Linked DNA regions of Drosophila melanogaster. The protein of the gene in region 2 interacts with the protein of the main gene of each other region in a biochemical or structural test. Each region holds a gene or a part of one and is shown on either strand. Other genes may lie near its edges.

What was found. Proteins that work in one complex are often made in the same cells at the same time.
Region 1: the proteins of ebi (region 2) and ttk form a complex in vitro, tested with the Drosophila melanogaster proteins (one study listed by BioGRID).

Annotation. Positions count from the first base shown.
Region 1 is NT_033777.3:31,712,138-31,718,255, reverse strand, and holds the start of ttk (tramtrack), read right to left. Parts: upstream 4,390-6,118; 5' UTR 3,987-4,389; intron 1-3,986. UniProt on the Drosophila melanogaster protein: Binds to a number of sites in the transcriptional regulatory region of ftz. Isoform beta is required to repress inappropriate segmentation gene transcription and repress genes incompatible with development of photoreceptor cell fates.
Region 2 is NT_033779.5:411,734-420,356, reverse strand, and holds ebi (ebi), read right to left. Parts: upstream 5,291-8,623; 5' UTR 4,969-5,290; coding exon 4,911-4,968; intron 4,846-4,910; coding exon 3,647-4,845; intron 3,569-3,646; coding exon 2,723-3,568; 3' UTR 1,821-2,722; downstream 1-1,820. Other genes in the region: RpLP1 (ribosomal protein LP1), read right to left, coding at 1-65, 211-282; CG13690 (uncharacterized protein), read left to right, coding at 757-1,800; AP-2alpha (adaptor protein complex 2, alpha subunit), read left to right, coding at 7,533-7,632, 7,699-7,910, 8,120-8,575.

The sequences.
Region 1 (6,118 bases), on a different chromosome or scaffold from region 2:
ACGCAGTCTGCTGCTTTCTCTTCGTGCGTTTCGTGGGCCTCTGCCGCGGTCGGCGTCGCCATATATTTCACTTTTTAATTTCTTAAATTTTTTTGATAGCGTTCTCCTTGCTCTCCTGCCGTGTGTGCGTCCGTTTTGTGGTATGGTATGTGTGCGAATGCCATCCCCATAGTCTCCACTTCCACTTCCTCCTGCGCCTCCTACCTCCTCCCACCACCCACCACCCATCGTCCCCCACACCGCTGCGCACTCAATTAAGCTTATCGCCCACTGTCCGCCCGTGTGCGTGAGTATCTGTGTGTGCTTTTTATTTGTGTGTGCCTTGTATCTGCGACGTTTTGTGGGGATATCTGCGTGCTGCTTGCTTTTTAGAGGTGACTTTCCTCGTCTGCGCTCCTTGAAGGCTACGAGGAAAACATCTCTGCTGGCTTCTCGTTTTCTGTCTTCCCCGTTCGCCTGTTCCTCTCCTCCTCCGCCTACCACCCACACCACACCACCCCACCTCACCCCCATTCACTCGCCCTGGGAAGCACGCTGCTGGTGTCGTGTGCAAATGGCCCCAACAGCGGCGGCCGCAATCGAAAAATCCTCTTTGAGAGGATTAAAATATACACAGCTTTTTTCTTATTGTCATGTGCTCTTTGCTTCCCTGCGAGCGGTACAGTGGGGCATATGCGATGATTTTGGGTAAAAAGGATTTTTGAGGATTTGGCATAATAGTTATGATAAATCTCAGTACTTCTTGGACGCTTATATGTCATATTATCGTTTTGAGCTCAACATGGAATTTCAACGGAATTTCTGTAAGGACTGTCAGGAATGTATATTTGTTTTGAGCTACAACCTTCAAGATTGATTGTAAGTCCAATTATGAAAACAAAAAGGGCAATGTGGAATTTGAACACAGCTCCACTGTGCCCGCCTTGTATCCCCAACCTCCGGTTGTCCCACACACGGACAAACGGAACGGACACCGTCCCCTGGCAAAGCTTAAGGGTAGCAGAGGCGTTGGCAGCGCTGCTTTCAATTACATTTCATTTGCATTTCGTAGTGTGCTGTCTACCTCTGTGTGTTTATTTCTTTTCGCTGATGTTGCCTTTTCCCGCACAAACACAGCGGCGTACTATAAGTTCGCAGCCTTAAGTCAAATGCCTGGCCATCCGCTCTCCTTTTTGAAATTCGCTTTTGTGGCTGCCATTCGTTGAAGAATGCAAAATAGGAAACGGCTGGCAGATGAACACATCCACCGCCGATTGTGTGGGTGAGTGATTTTTGAGTTCTTCAGTTTTTCAGGCACCACAGGGCGTATACTTGACGCGGACATTGAGCTGCGCCGGCAGCGGCGTCGACGTCGTTAATTGAATTATAGTGCATGCGTATGTATGCTTGTAAGGCCTGCAAAAGGCTTAAAACGGTAAAAAAAATATTTAATTTCAGCCAGCAGGCGGAAATTGTGAAATAAGCCTAACTACGTGTTTGGGGTCCGGAAATTACTAGAAATCCTTAAGAAATAACATTAGGTTTTATTTGGTAATTGTTCTTTAAATTTATTATGAATCTTTGATATCCATGTAAGTAAAAATTTATGATCTTTGGGCAACTGTAACTATATCTGGAGGGTTACCACTGCTGCCTTCTGGTTTCCGTCTTTTGCTTAGCTTTTTTCGGCCCATTCTCTTTTCGCGAAGATTTCTGCCTGAGTTACAAAACATATTTTGGTCACTGACCTTTTCTGTTTCTTGTATTTTTCGTTGATTCCTCATTTTTTTGCTGACTTTTGAGCGTTTTTTGTTTGTGTTCCACTTTTGAATTTAGGTTTTTGCAGTAGTCGGAGTTTTTGTGCAGATTGCTAATTAAAAAAGGAGATATATGGGGTACACGCGCGACTTGTATGCTATCAGGATGGGCAATCGGGGCAGCAGAACCCCGAAAGCGAAATACCTGGCGTTCTCCGCGAAGGTGATTCAAATCAGAAATGCATTCAAGAAAAATTTCATTTACTTGTAATGCCACAAGCCCCAGAATATGAAAAGGAGTATCGTGTGGATGAAAAGGTATACCACATGAATATACACGGGGAAACCGCGCACAACAGACATTTATTTAGCATGGCAGCTGGCACTTGCGAATGAAATAAATAAATATAAAATCATTTTAAATAACAATAATCAAGGAATGTATTGTGCAAATTTGGTTCCGAATAATTGTTGAATACGAAAAAGGGGCAGGAAATCGGCGCAAGATGGCAGATACATTTAAGTAGAATTTGTGAAAGAGTCACGTGCACTAAACCAATGCACCGGAAAAATTTCCTGTATTATTTCAATCATTATTTGTTAAAAATGTTTTAACATTTCTTGCCCTGTGTACTTAAGGGAGAGTGAGAGAAGAATAGATAAGAGAGTTCTGCCTTTTCCTATCCCCCGCTGATATTGCGTATACGCCGCTTGGACTTTTACTGTTTCGACTTTTTATGGGTTTCTACGAGCGAAAACAACAATGCATATGTTCAGATCGCGTTTGCGTTGTTAGTCATGTCATCCTCTTTCTCTTTTCCCTCTTTCATTGCTGCTTTAACCGTTTCGATCGCCGGCTAAACAACAGTTATAATTCGAGCATAATGTTAAGTGAGCGCAAGGTGTTCACAAGTGTCTTTGTGTGTGTGGGGCAAACAAACAGAAAAGCTTTCGCGGAGAGCGGGAAATATATAGTAAAGAGCGCATAGTGCTGCTCTTGTCGTTTCATTAACAAAACAACCGCAAAATTTATGTGTGATCTGAGACTGGGCATTCGTTTCCTTTTCGCCCCAATACAAAGTATAATTCACGATTTTTGTTGTTGCTGCCACTGTGTGAAGTGGGTTAGCGAATTAAAAACAACGACAGAAGTAACAAATAAACATAACATACAAAGACAAATGCAGATCGGAGACGAAGATTGTGTTTTTTGGGCTGTGATCTTGATTTGCATAATTGAATTTGTGGCTTAGCGTGGAGCACAGGTGCAAGTGTAGAGTTGCCCCTTGGCCAGGGTTGTCAGGTTTCCTTCCTCCCAAGAATAGTAACCAACGTATAGAGTTGTAGCTCACTTTAGTTATTGCGATTAAATAAACGTAAAGCCGAGTTACACAATCAATACATTGAGTCCAAATAATTTGTGCAGTGCAAACATGTTGCGTACATGGATTACTCATTCACACATTCACTCCATTGGTTCATTCAGAAAAACACCGCAAGTGTTGCAGCCACTGGAAGCCACCAGAAGGCACTGGAACTGGAAGAGTGATCAAAAGGGGTGCGCCGGGCGAATGACGACTGGATGTGGAAGTGGGGGATAAAAAAGGAAATGGGCAACTGCAAATGACAGAGATCACTGAAGCACGACCGACAAATAAGCGGCGGACGAATCTATGTATCTAGTATCTGGTATCTAGTGTGGCGGCATTACTCCCCATGTGCCGTATACGGCATGTGTGCATTTGTATCTGTGGCTGTACCACTATCTGTATAAGTTGGATACAAAAGCGTCTTTCCAATAGGCGTGTGTTGGTGCATGTACTGAGCGTGTGAGCGGGAAATTGTTAGAAGAAAATGTATCTGCTAGGCTTTTAAGACTGCTAGATTTCCAAAACGACCCTTGGCCAATTTGTCAGGCTTTTATTGCTATAATTCTGTAATCCAAAAGCTATTAACTGCTGATTTTGTCATCAATTGTTTTCGACTCCTGCGATGTCCTGTTTAAAGTGATTAGATTCTAATCCAAAAATATAATTCAGTGAACATTCAAATCTTTAAAAAAATCACTACGGACTCCAGAAACAAAAGCCAGTTAAAGAACTTTTGAATCTTAATCAATAAAATCCTCATCTGAGATTCAAGATAAGTCTTAAGAAGGTAATAAGAATACTTAAACTTGTCGTTTAAATTTGAACACTTGATGATTTGACCTTTTTCGAAGACTATTTCGTGGATAATCTCACCACTTACCAATTTTACAAATATTCTTGGTAATCCGTTTTGCGGTTTCTTCGGCGGAAGAAGGCTTGCAACACTCGAAAGTACTTGTTGTTGTTTCTGTTTCTTCTCTTGTTGTTGGTTACACGTAATTGGCAACCGAGGCGAACACGGAGCCGAAAGCGGGTTGCGAAAAGGCAAAAGGCAAAGAAATCAGCTGAGGAAACGCCGCGCACGAACCTCCAATCAGAACTGAAACGGCAGGGATGTCGACGTCGACGCAGAAGCCATTTTACCGCATTTGTTGTCCCTGAGCTGAGCCCCAAAACCGAGAGAGAGAGAGAGGCAGAACGAGCACCACAGAGAGCCGCTAAGGTGGATACACAAAGCCGAGCCGAAGCCTTACCGAAAGCTTTGATCACACGGCACGAACTGAGCTGGGAATAGCATGGAATATGGGAGTATGGGAATTGGTAGTGGTAGTGGGCGGTATTTGTAGTGCTCCCGTTTCACATTGCTCTCCCGCTCGCAGGGCACCAAAAACGCAAGTGGATGTGGACGGATGAGCGGACGAAATGGAATGGCAAGAATCGAACATTTGAATGGGGCTCCAAATGGTTAAGAGAACAGCGCAGCCGCTGCTGGCAGCGAGAGCGAGGGAGAGCGCAGTCCCAACTTGACATTTCCATTTCGCCGCTGCGTTGGCGCTCTGCCCTTATGCTCTTTCTTCTCGCGCTCTCCCGCTGATAAGCTGGTGTTGAAAACAAGTCTCCTGCGCTCTCGCTCTCTCTCACCGCCGTGACCTGCTGCTCCACCTCTGCGCCCACCACCCCTTCGCTTCTCTGCTGCATCAGCGTATTACGAAATATGACAACAATGCAGTTTGGTCGTCCTCGTTTTCATTCTGCCGACACAGCGGCTGCTTCTTCTTCAGTCCCATCTTCACCTCTCTGCTTGTGCCTGCTCAGCATAAATGCCATCTCTCCGCTCTCTTTGGGAACACCGGAGTATGGAAGAGTGTGAGAGAGGGGGGGGGGGAGAGAGAGGAGAAAGAGAGAGTGGGTGGCTGGTGCTTGTTTGTTATTTTCTCCGCGCTGCACTTGCAAATTGATTGTATTTTAATGAAGTTCTGGTGCCCGCTAAAAATAGTCAACTCTCTATTCAAAGGGGAGGATCGTCGCCGAGGGGCGTGGTGCGGGAATTTCTATCTGGGCGCATTCCAAGTGCAGCAATATATCGGCAGTAACTAATTCCAAATGCCAGCTATTACGACAAACTGGTTTGATCGGAAAAGCGTGCCTCGTATGCTCGACTCTCTTATTCGCTCAACCTCCCACCGACTGCCCCGCCCCCCAGCGCCCCTTTCGAGAACGCTCGCGCACACTTCTAACTGAAACCGAAATGATTCCATGTTTTCCCCGCTGCACCGACTTTAAGTTGAATAATTGTTGCTGGGGTTGCCCTGCACTGAGAGAATTGTTTGCAACGTAATTGTTTCTTTACGTTTTAGAAAATATCGCTACCTTAGATAATATAAACTTTATACACTAGTTTTGCTGTGCACGATGGCACACGTAACCCACTGGTCAACTGCCTGATGGGTCTTGGGAGCGTGTCGCTTTTTGGGTAACCCCCGGGACGGGGCGTTACCTGATCCGATCCCAAGGGGGGCTGGTCGTTATTAGGGCCCATTTGAAGGATCATTAGGCATGCATGGGAAAGACCGTCAATCAATGCGTGTTCTTGGGAAACGGCAACAGTTCCCCGCATCTAAGATTATATATCTGGCATAGATATGGGAGTTCTTTGACTTTGGCACCGCTGATAGTGGAAAAGGATTGAGGGACCAGACTTGGGCGACAGATAAGACATGTCTAGGAAGGCCGTTATCTCTCTCTTTATACGCTGATAATGGAAGCCTTAATCGCTTTCTTTAAGTACAATCGGTTAGTTAGGTTTGGTTTTAAACATATCTACATATGTGGACCCTCTGTTATGAAAGCGTGTAGTATGGGGATAGCTTTGAGCAAGTTATACGACTGGTGAAAAATTGGCTTGCATAACCCGCCATACCCTCCATTGATCTTTCCTTGCACACCATTTTATTGTTTCGCAAGCTTACATTAGCTTGGAAACTAATTTCGATGGAGCCCACAGACAATTAC
Region 2 (8,623 bases):
AGACCGGGCCAGTAGGGCTCCACCTCGACGTTGGCGGCCTTCAGGATGGTGTTGATCTTCTCACCCTGGTGAATCCAAAAAATAAGATCAGCACAAGTTGCAGCAGTGCGAAAGAAACCATAGGACCCGCAAATTGTCCAATACTTCCGGCCGATGGCCGCGGCTTTGGAGGATTTGCTTCGTCCCCGATTGCAATATCGAAAAACTTACGGTGACGGCGACATCGTCATCGACGAGGATGAGGGAGGCGTAGACGCAGGCGAGCTCGGCTTTGGTGGACATGTCGAAGTGCTGTGGCTAATCACTGATTGTGCAAGTTGCCAAAAATTAATTGTTTATAACAAATGGCCTTAGCTCGGGACGAGAACAAGCACGCTGGTCAAAATCCTAAACCGGAAAGAGCAGTTGATATGCAGTGTGACCGCGCCGATGACGAAGAAAAATACCAACCGTCTATGAAAATTTGCATATTATTGTCAGGAAATACTAGGTAGAGGAAAACTCGTTCAAACTGCCGAGATTATCTCTTATTTAAACTAGTTTATTTTTAAGCATCTTGGACAGAAGCCTTAGCATAATTCTCTGGTTATATGTTTATCTCTCTATTTTAATAAAAGACCTTTCCGTACGGTTATTGAGAATATTAAAAAAAAGATATTTTGGTATAATGACGAATGAGTCACACTGCAACTTTATGTATACAATTAGTGTGCCCATAGCGTCGTTTAAACGTAAACAAAAAAAAAGCGCGCGAAAATGTCGGACCAAGAAGACGTAGTTGTAAAAAAAGAAAAAAAATGTATAGAAAATATTGATGAGAACGACGAAGAGCCCGATGATGTAGATTTTAAGGACAGCGGAAAAATAAGCTCCTTGAAGGCCCTGGGTCCATTTATAGCCGGCAAGGAGAATAGCCGCAACACGGTTTACCTCAGCGATGTTCCGGATATTTGCAAGGATAAGCCGTGCATGCTGGGCGTGGACGAAGCAGGGCGTGGTCCCGTCCTGGGACCTATGGTATATGGGATCTCCTACTGTCCACTGGAAAGTAACAAGGCTTTAGAGGACCTGGGATGCGCCGATTCCAAACAACTAACCGAGGGGAAACGTGATATCATATTTAACGATATCAACACCAAGGAATATGCGACCAGTTGCGTTGGCTGGGCCGTGGAGATCATATCGCCGAACACGATCAGCACCAGCATGTACCGGCGGTCGAAGTGCTCCCTGAACGAAGTTTCCATGGACTCGGCCATGGGCCTTATCCAACAGGCGATCGATGCGGGCGTCAATATAGCCGAGGTTTATGTGGATACGGTGGGTCCGCCGGAGAAGTACCAGGAGAAGTTGCTCAAACGTTTCCCCAGCTTTAAAATCACCGTGGCGAAAAAAGCTGACTCCACCTATCCAATAGTCTCTGCTGCTAGTATATGCGCCAAAGTTACCCGTGATCATGCCCTCAAGGTGTGGAGCTTCCCCGAGGGCTTGGTCATTAAGGACAACGAGTTCGGCAGTGGATATCCGGGAGATCCGGTCACAAGAAGATTTCTGACCGAGTACATCGATCTAGTGTTTGGATTTCCACGACTTGTGCGCTTCAGTTGGTCCACCGCGGAAAACGCACTGGCGGACAAGGCCTATGACATGGAGTTCGACGAGCCGGATTCCGAGAAGCCCAAGTACGCCGGCACCAAGCTCACAAAGTTCTTTAAGGGCACAACAAAATCCGGCGAAATAATTCGCGAGGAGTGCCGCTTCTTTAAGCAACGCCATCTGGAAAGTGTCATGGAGTTTTAGCAACAAATGAAAATAAAATTAAGTTCAGGAGTATCTATATTTACAAAGAATAAAGTTTAATTTAAGTACTTTAGTATTAAATTTTAAAATGCTAAAATACAAAAAACACCCAGGCCCAAAACGAAAACAGATTAATTTTTATCTTTAATGTATTTTTGCTGATGTTCTTGTGTTTCCGCCAATCTCGTGTTCTTAATAATTACGTTCGATTACTGACTACGTGGGACTGCAGTTACACTGTTCTGAATGTATGCGTGAATCGGTCTGATCTGATCTCTTGGCATCCCTTTTTTGGAGGACAACTGTGGAATTGGGTAAAGGACTTTTGGTGGGGAGGGCGGGGAGTTGGCTGGCATCTTTGATCGATACAATAACAAAATGCAAAGTTATACTAAACGATTTTCGTATAAAAAGGGACGACCTTAGAAACATGGAGCTTATGATTAAGATTAAAATGAGGCGAGTCGCATCCCGCTGATCTGAAGAGAACAACAACCATGTTGAAGCCCCCAAAAATCCCAGGTGCATATCGATATTTTGTGACTCGAAACTAAGCGTACGAAATAGACGTGGACAAAAGCGGGAGGATCTCATCTCAAGAGGTATACCTTAAAGAACTAATTAGAATTTAAAGCAATTACAAATACGATTGCAGGGCGGGATAGCTAAGAAAGGAGTTACCTAAGGTCCGGACTCCAGATCCAAATCGACTTATGTTGGTAGAATTGTAACTGATCATATTTCACTTCTTTAAAAAATATAGTTAAATGCAATTTTTGAATCAAAAGTAAAAACTTCTCGTTCCGTAAGAAAGTGAAAAACTACCGATTTCATTTTTACCAAATAATGAGCTGGAAAAGGAATCTTGACTATTTTAAGCGTTGGCTCAATACACGAAATCCAGTTGTGGCTGCTCCGGCAATCAGAACTTTCGCAGGTCCAACACGAAAACGCTACCGTCGGAGGCACTGGCACCCACCTTAGTGCCCTTGGAGTTCCAGCACACCTCAAAGATTCCGCCCGTGCCCTTGTAACTGTGCACTAGCTGTCCCGTTTGCGTGCTCCAAATGTGTACGCACTTGTCGAAGCTGCCGGAGGCCAAATGCTTTCCATCCGGACTGAAGGCCACCGAATAGACTGGCTCTGTGTGCTTGGTGAGCGTGTGGATACAGCTGCCCCTCTCCACGTCCCACAGTCTTACCGTGGAATCGAACGAAGCGGATGCGAGGATCAGGTTTGTGTTTGGATTATTGGTTCCCGGCCCCGTGGGCGACCATTTTATCGTATAGATCTCCTTTGAGTGAGCCTGCAGATCGTGGCAGCAACGATCTCGGTTCATGCTCCAGATCTTGAGGGTCATGTCATCAGAGCAGGACGCCAGCAGTTGGCCCTGCGGACACCACTTGATTGCATTCACCTCGTTTGTGTGTCCTTTAAAGGTCTTGATGGGTTCATTTACACCCAACCGGCACACATGTATCCGCTGATCCGTACTGCAAGAGGCAAAGGCCTGGTTTGTCTGCCAGTCCACATCCAAGGCTGGAGCACTGTGAAAGGCAAATTGCTGGGTGCATTGGCCCGTGGATGCGTCCCAGATGATCGTCGTCTTGTCCACGCCAGCCGAGAGGATGTAGTTGCCGCACTTGTTCCACTTCAGAGCAAAGATCGGACCCTTGTGTTGTCCCAAAGTAGAAGCAAGTCGACCGTCGGTTTTCCAAATTCGGGCGTAACCATCGTAGCTGCCGGTGGCGAGCAAGGAACCATCGCACTGCAAAAACGAGAATAGATTAAGTAAGGATCAGAAATCAAACTTTGCAAGGCTTAAGTGCCAAGATCTTCGACTTACATTCCAGTCCAGAGAGGTGACGTCCTTGTTGCTAGGCACCTCAGCGCCGCCTTTCTGGATGCAGTGGCGCAGCACCAACTGGTTGGAGTTAGTGTTTGCATCGGACATGTCCCATATCCTAGCAGTGCTGTCTCCCGAACCGCTTGCCAGTAAATCCCGGCTAGGATTCCATGCGCAGATAAACACCTCGCTTTCGTGGCCGCGTAATACACGAGCCTTGGATTCGGGTATTTCGATGTTCTCGTCAATGTCCATGGGAACAAGAGCTGCGGGAGTCCCAGCACCTCCGCTGGTAGACGAGGAGATGGTTCCACTGGGAGCAGAGCTTTGAGCATTGGACGAACCAGACTGCACGTTGTTTCCTTGGGCTCCTACGCGAATCGTAACCGCTCCACTTGGCGCCTTTGATCCTGTTGCAGTCGAAGCTCCGCCCGATGCTGCTGCGTCCGGATTGGAGGTTGATACAGTTCCACCAGCGGGCGTCAGCCCGCTTGTAGGTTGTTCTACGCTGCTGGAAGTGCTGCTATTGCCATTTGTGGATGTTGAGGAGGCTGCATCATCGGTACTGGTAGCATTTGCATTGCCTGCATTGCCACTAGATGAGCTTCCCGCTTCATTCGAGTTCTGGGATTTCTTTTGACTTGCCCCAGGTGCTGCCAAATCTCCACCAGCTGGTGTGCTTGTGCTATTAGATCCTCCAGTACTGGCCTGGTTCCCTCCAGCTCCATTGTTTCCGGCGTATGTGCCGCCAGCATTATTTGCCGCATTTCCACTGGAGTCTACCTCGCTTGCCGACTGATCGGTTGGTGTGCTTGTGCCCGTGGTGCTGCCAGCAATTTTGTTTCCACCTGCTGAGCCCGCCACTCCGGTACCCGGTTCTATTTTTATCTCAGGCTTGGCATTGTTGTTCTGGTTGCCACCGGCAGGGGCAGAAGAGTCGACTGCCCCGGGTTTTCCCGGCTCTGTTTTCACAATGGGCTTGAGTGGCTTCACCTCCGGCATGACAGCGTCTATTAGAGAGAGTCCTTCAATGGGTCGCGCCACCTCGCCGTCTTCGCCTACGCTCCACTCCACTTCAGTGTACAGAAGACCCTTCTGCAGGATGGTGAGCAAAGCGGCAGGTGGAACCAATGCGCCATTGATATTACTTTGCGAGATGTGTGACTCAATGCCAAACACGTAGGCCGAGTGCAGAAAGCCTAGAAAACGGGATTGCATGAGATTAGGGCGGGCTGTTATCTTGCGATTGGAGGGTTTTACTCACCCGACTCCTGCAGGTATCGGTAAACCAGAAAGTTCACCTCGTCGCTGGAAAAACTCATGACGGAACGCGGTTGGCTCCTTCTCCTACTACTAGCGCACTCCAAAATCCACTCCTATCTCCAATGCCAATTATGTTTTTACGGTGCGAAAATCGGAACTGTGCTGCGTAACACATGCGTCTGCATTCGGCACGCTTATCACTTCGGCGCAAGCCACGGTATCCGGTGCTACTCCTGGTACTTGGATCGATCTGGTCGGTCCTGTGTTTTCAATTCTGCCAGTTTGCTGCTTGCCGCAAGAGCACTTCACATATTTTTTCCACAAATAAAACCGAGGGATCGAAAACGCGTTTCTGAAACGCGCAAAAAAATGGCGGAGTAATCTCAAGGTGTGCGCTGCGAGAGGTTGCGCAGCCTTGTGTTTTGTGACGTCACAAGTTTTGACAACAACTTAATCAAATTTGAGTCATATTTTTGTATTGCACCAAGCGTTACCTTAAAGGATAGAACGGAAATTTATTAGCCATAAAAACAATTAAGAAGATATTTTTGGATTTCTGCTTGGAGCAAAAGGTAAAAAATTCTTAAAGCGAATTGTCGTCTCTCTTCGTCCATCCCTGTGTACCCATCCCTCGAAGTAATCATTGTATTTCAACCCAACGCTCTACTGGTCACACCAATCGTTCCACCCGCGCCCGCTAGATGGCTCCACTCTTAGGCAGCGAGAGCGAAGAAAAATCAATAGAAATTTTCATTTTAGTGAATTGCCCTGCACTTGGTAATAGTTAACAAACAAATTAGCGGCAAATCAGCGAGGCGAAGCTCCAGCGAGTTGGAGTTCCATAAAGTGCAACACGCAGGGTCAAACATTCCGCAGCCAACACCCCGGATTCCGATTCCAAGCGAAGCCAACTTCAGAAGTCAGAGATTACTCTCTCTGCTCCGCCACAGAAATTCCGCAACGCTAACCGATTTTGTCCGCTGGCGAGTAAAAAAAATCGGAAAAGTAAGCTCAAAAAAAAAGAACAGCTAACATACGCCCATTAATGTTTTTGGAGGCTTCTTCGGTGCTTTTTTTTTTGGGCAAAACGCCCTCGTCATCCAGCGGTGAAAAAAGTGACGTGACATGAAAGCAAAGAAAGAAGAGAACCGAAGAGCGCAGTGAAAAACAGAAAATAAAACGAAACGGAAAGCAAAGTAAAAAGTATACTACAGAAACAAAAGCCGGTGGTCGCGCAAATCCAAATAATAATGCCCAAGTGCACATCGACTTCGCCAGGCGATAAAAAGTGGGCGAGCGAGGTCACAGAATCTTTATCAACGGGCAAAACGCTGCCAAGTTGAAAATAAATCGGTTGCCAAAAATGCGGGGGTACACTCTACTTCCACCAGAAAATGTCAAAGTTCGCCAGCCATTGGGTGCACTGGCCGGAAAATCAATCACGTAGTCCACTATTTACCGTTTAAAAGTTCTGAGTTTATTAAACATTGGATTTTTTATACATATAAATCGTTATCAGCGCTTGATGCTCAGTGAAATGTGTGGTGCATACATATTTTGTGGCGTTTTCGTTATCAAAAGTAAAACTGCAATACGGACTTTCAAAATAGAAGCTGTATCAATGTGTTGGCATGCACAATAAGCTACTCCCTGGCTAAATACAAATTGTTATCCAAAATACCTTTTGTTTGAATAATATACGTTTGTTAACACAAATACTAAAACGTAATCATAATACTAAGTTTTCCCATTCCCACAACCCACAATAAATAGAGTATCGTTTCCCCTTTCAGGTCCCAAGGAACGGCCGAGATCCAATCGAAGTAAAAAGAGCTTTGCAGAACCAGAGCGGAGAGCAACTATATATCTTAGGGTCCGACGTCGAGTTCGAGCGATAAGAACGCCTCGAGACTCGGCCGCCATCCATTGACGATTTTCTTGCGCCCCCAGTTTGCATAAAACCAGCGAAAATTAACAAGCTAACTACCATGGCGCCGGTGCGGGGGGATGGCATGAGAGGCCTGGCCGTCTTTATATCGGATATAAGGAACTGTAAGTGCAGATCTCTTGGGTAACCAGCATTAAATCCAATTGAGCGGGTCGCAACAAGAGATTTTCCATAGGGGCGGAATCAGCGCCATTACTTGATCAATTACCAGGAGCAGCGCACTGACAAAAACGTGGGGCGGTACAAAAACGCAGGAACAGTAAGCTCTCTGCCAGATGAATTACAAAATATTGGCTACTTTTCTTCTCCATTCCTATGTAAATGTTTTCGTAGTCGTTACATTAGAAAGATATGAGAAAGTTATATATATAGTTATATATATGGGTACAACACAGCAAATAGTTATATCAATGTGAATCGGTTGCCTCTCAGTATTAATAAATACTTACAATTTTGATAGTTTGATGACTTACTGTAGTACTTCGAAGCGTGCATATGTGTGTGCGCAAGAGTCCGACGCTTCACTGTATGGTATTATTATCACAGCTCGTTGTTTGCTGTATGCTCGGTTACTAGTTTCTGGTTTGTGGACAACATATAGGAGAGCAGAGGTTCCGCTGCGGATCGGTGACTGGTACTAATTGACGCCTATGTGAATCGGAGAAAATCCGCGACATGGAGAGAGCTGAAGGGTGTGAAGTCGTCTCTCCGATCGATCAATCGCGGGGTGGAAAGGAAAGCGAAGCTTCCGCAGACGAATCACTGTTGTTTTACTGTGAATCTCCCTTATACCCGCATAAGACACAAATTTCTATACTAATATTCACCCATTTGCCCACAGGCAAAAGCAAAGAGGCCGAAGTCAAACGCATAAACAAGGAGTTGGCCAATATACGAAGCAAATTTAAAGGAGACAAAACCCTCGACGGCTATCAGAAAAAGAAATATGTCTGTAAGCTGTTATTCATATTTCTCCTCGGCCATGACATCGACTTCGGGCACATGGAGGCGGTCAATTTGCTGTCCTCCAACAAATACTCAGAAAAGCAGATTGTGAGTACCCCAAAAAATTGCTTCAATAATCATTTGTTTATTTAGCGAGTCGAAATAATTGAACTGAAAGCAGACGACTCTGCTTGTGGGAAAAGGGAATTTCATTCAATTAAATTTAACTTGTCGTTGTTTGAAGTTTGATAAAAATAATTAAAAAATTGGTTTTTTAAATTTAATGTTACTGATAAAATCTGTTTTTTGAACTTTAGGGTTACCTTTTCATCTCAGTGTTGGTGAACACCAACAGCGACCTTATTCGGCTGATCATCCAATCTATAAAGAATGATTTGCAGTCGCGTAATCCTGTGCACGTTAATCTGGCACTACAATGCATTGCCAACATTGGAAGTCGGGATATGGCCGAGTCCTTTTCCAACGAAATACCCAAGCTACTCGTCTCGGGCGACACCATGGACGTGGTGAAGCAGTCGGCGGCGCTATGCCTGCTCCGCCTGTTCCGCTCCTCGCCGGACATCATTCCCGGTGGTGAGTGGACTTCGCGCATTATCCATTTGCTCAATGATCAGCACATGGGAGTGGTCACAGCGGCCACCTCGCTGATCGACGCCTTGGTGAAGCGCAATCCGGACGAGTACAAGGGTTGTGTTAATTTGGCTGTTTCACGCTTATCCCGGATCGTAACAGCCAGCTACACGGATCTTCAGGTACGATTTAATGCATTTTTTAAGGTAAGAAACTTCTAATTACTAACT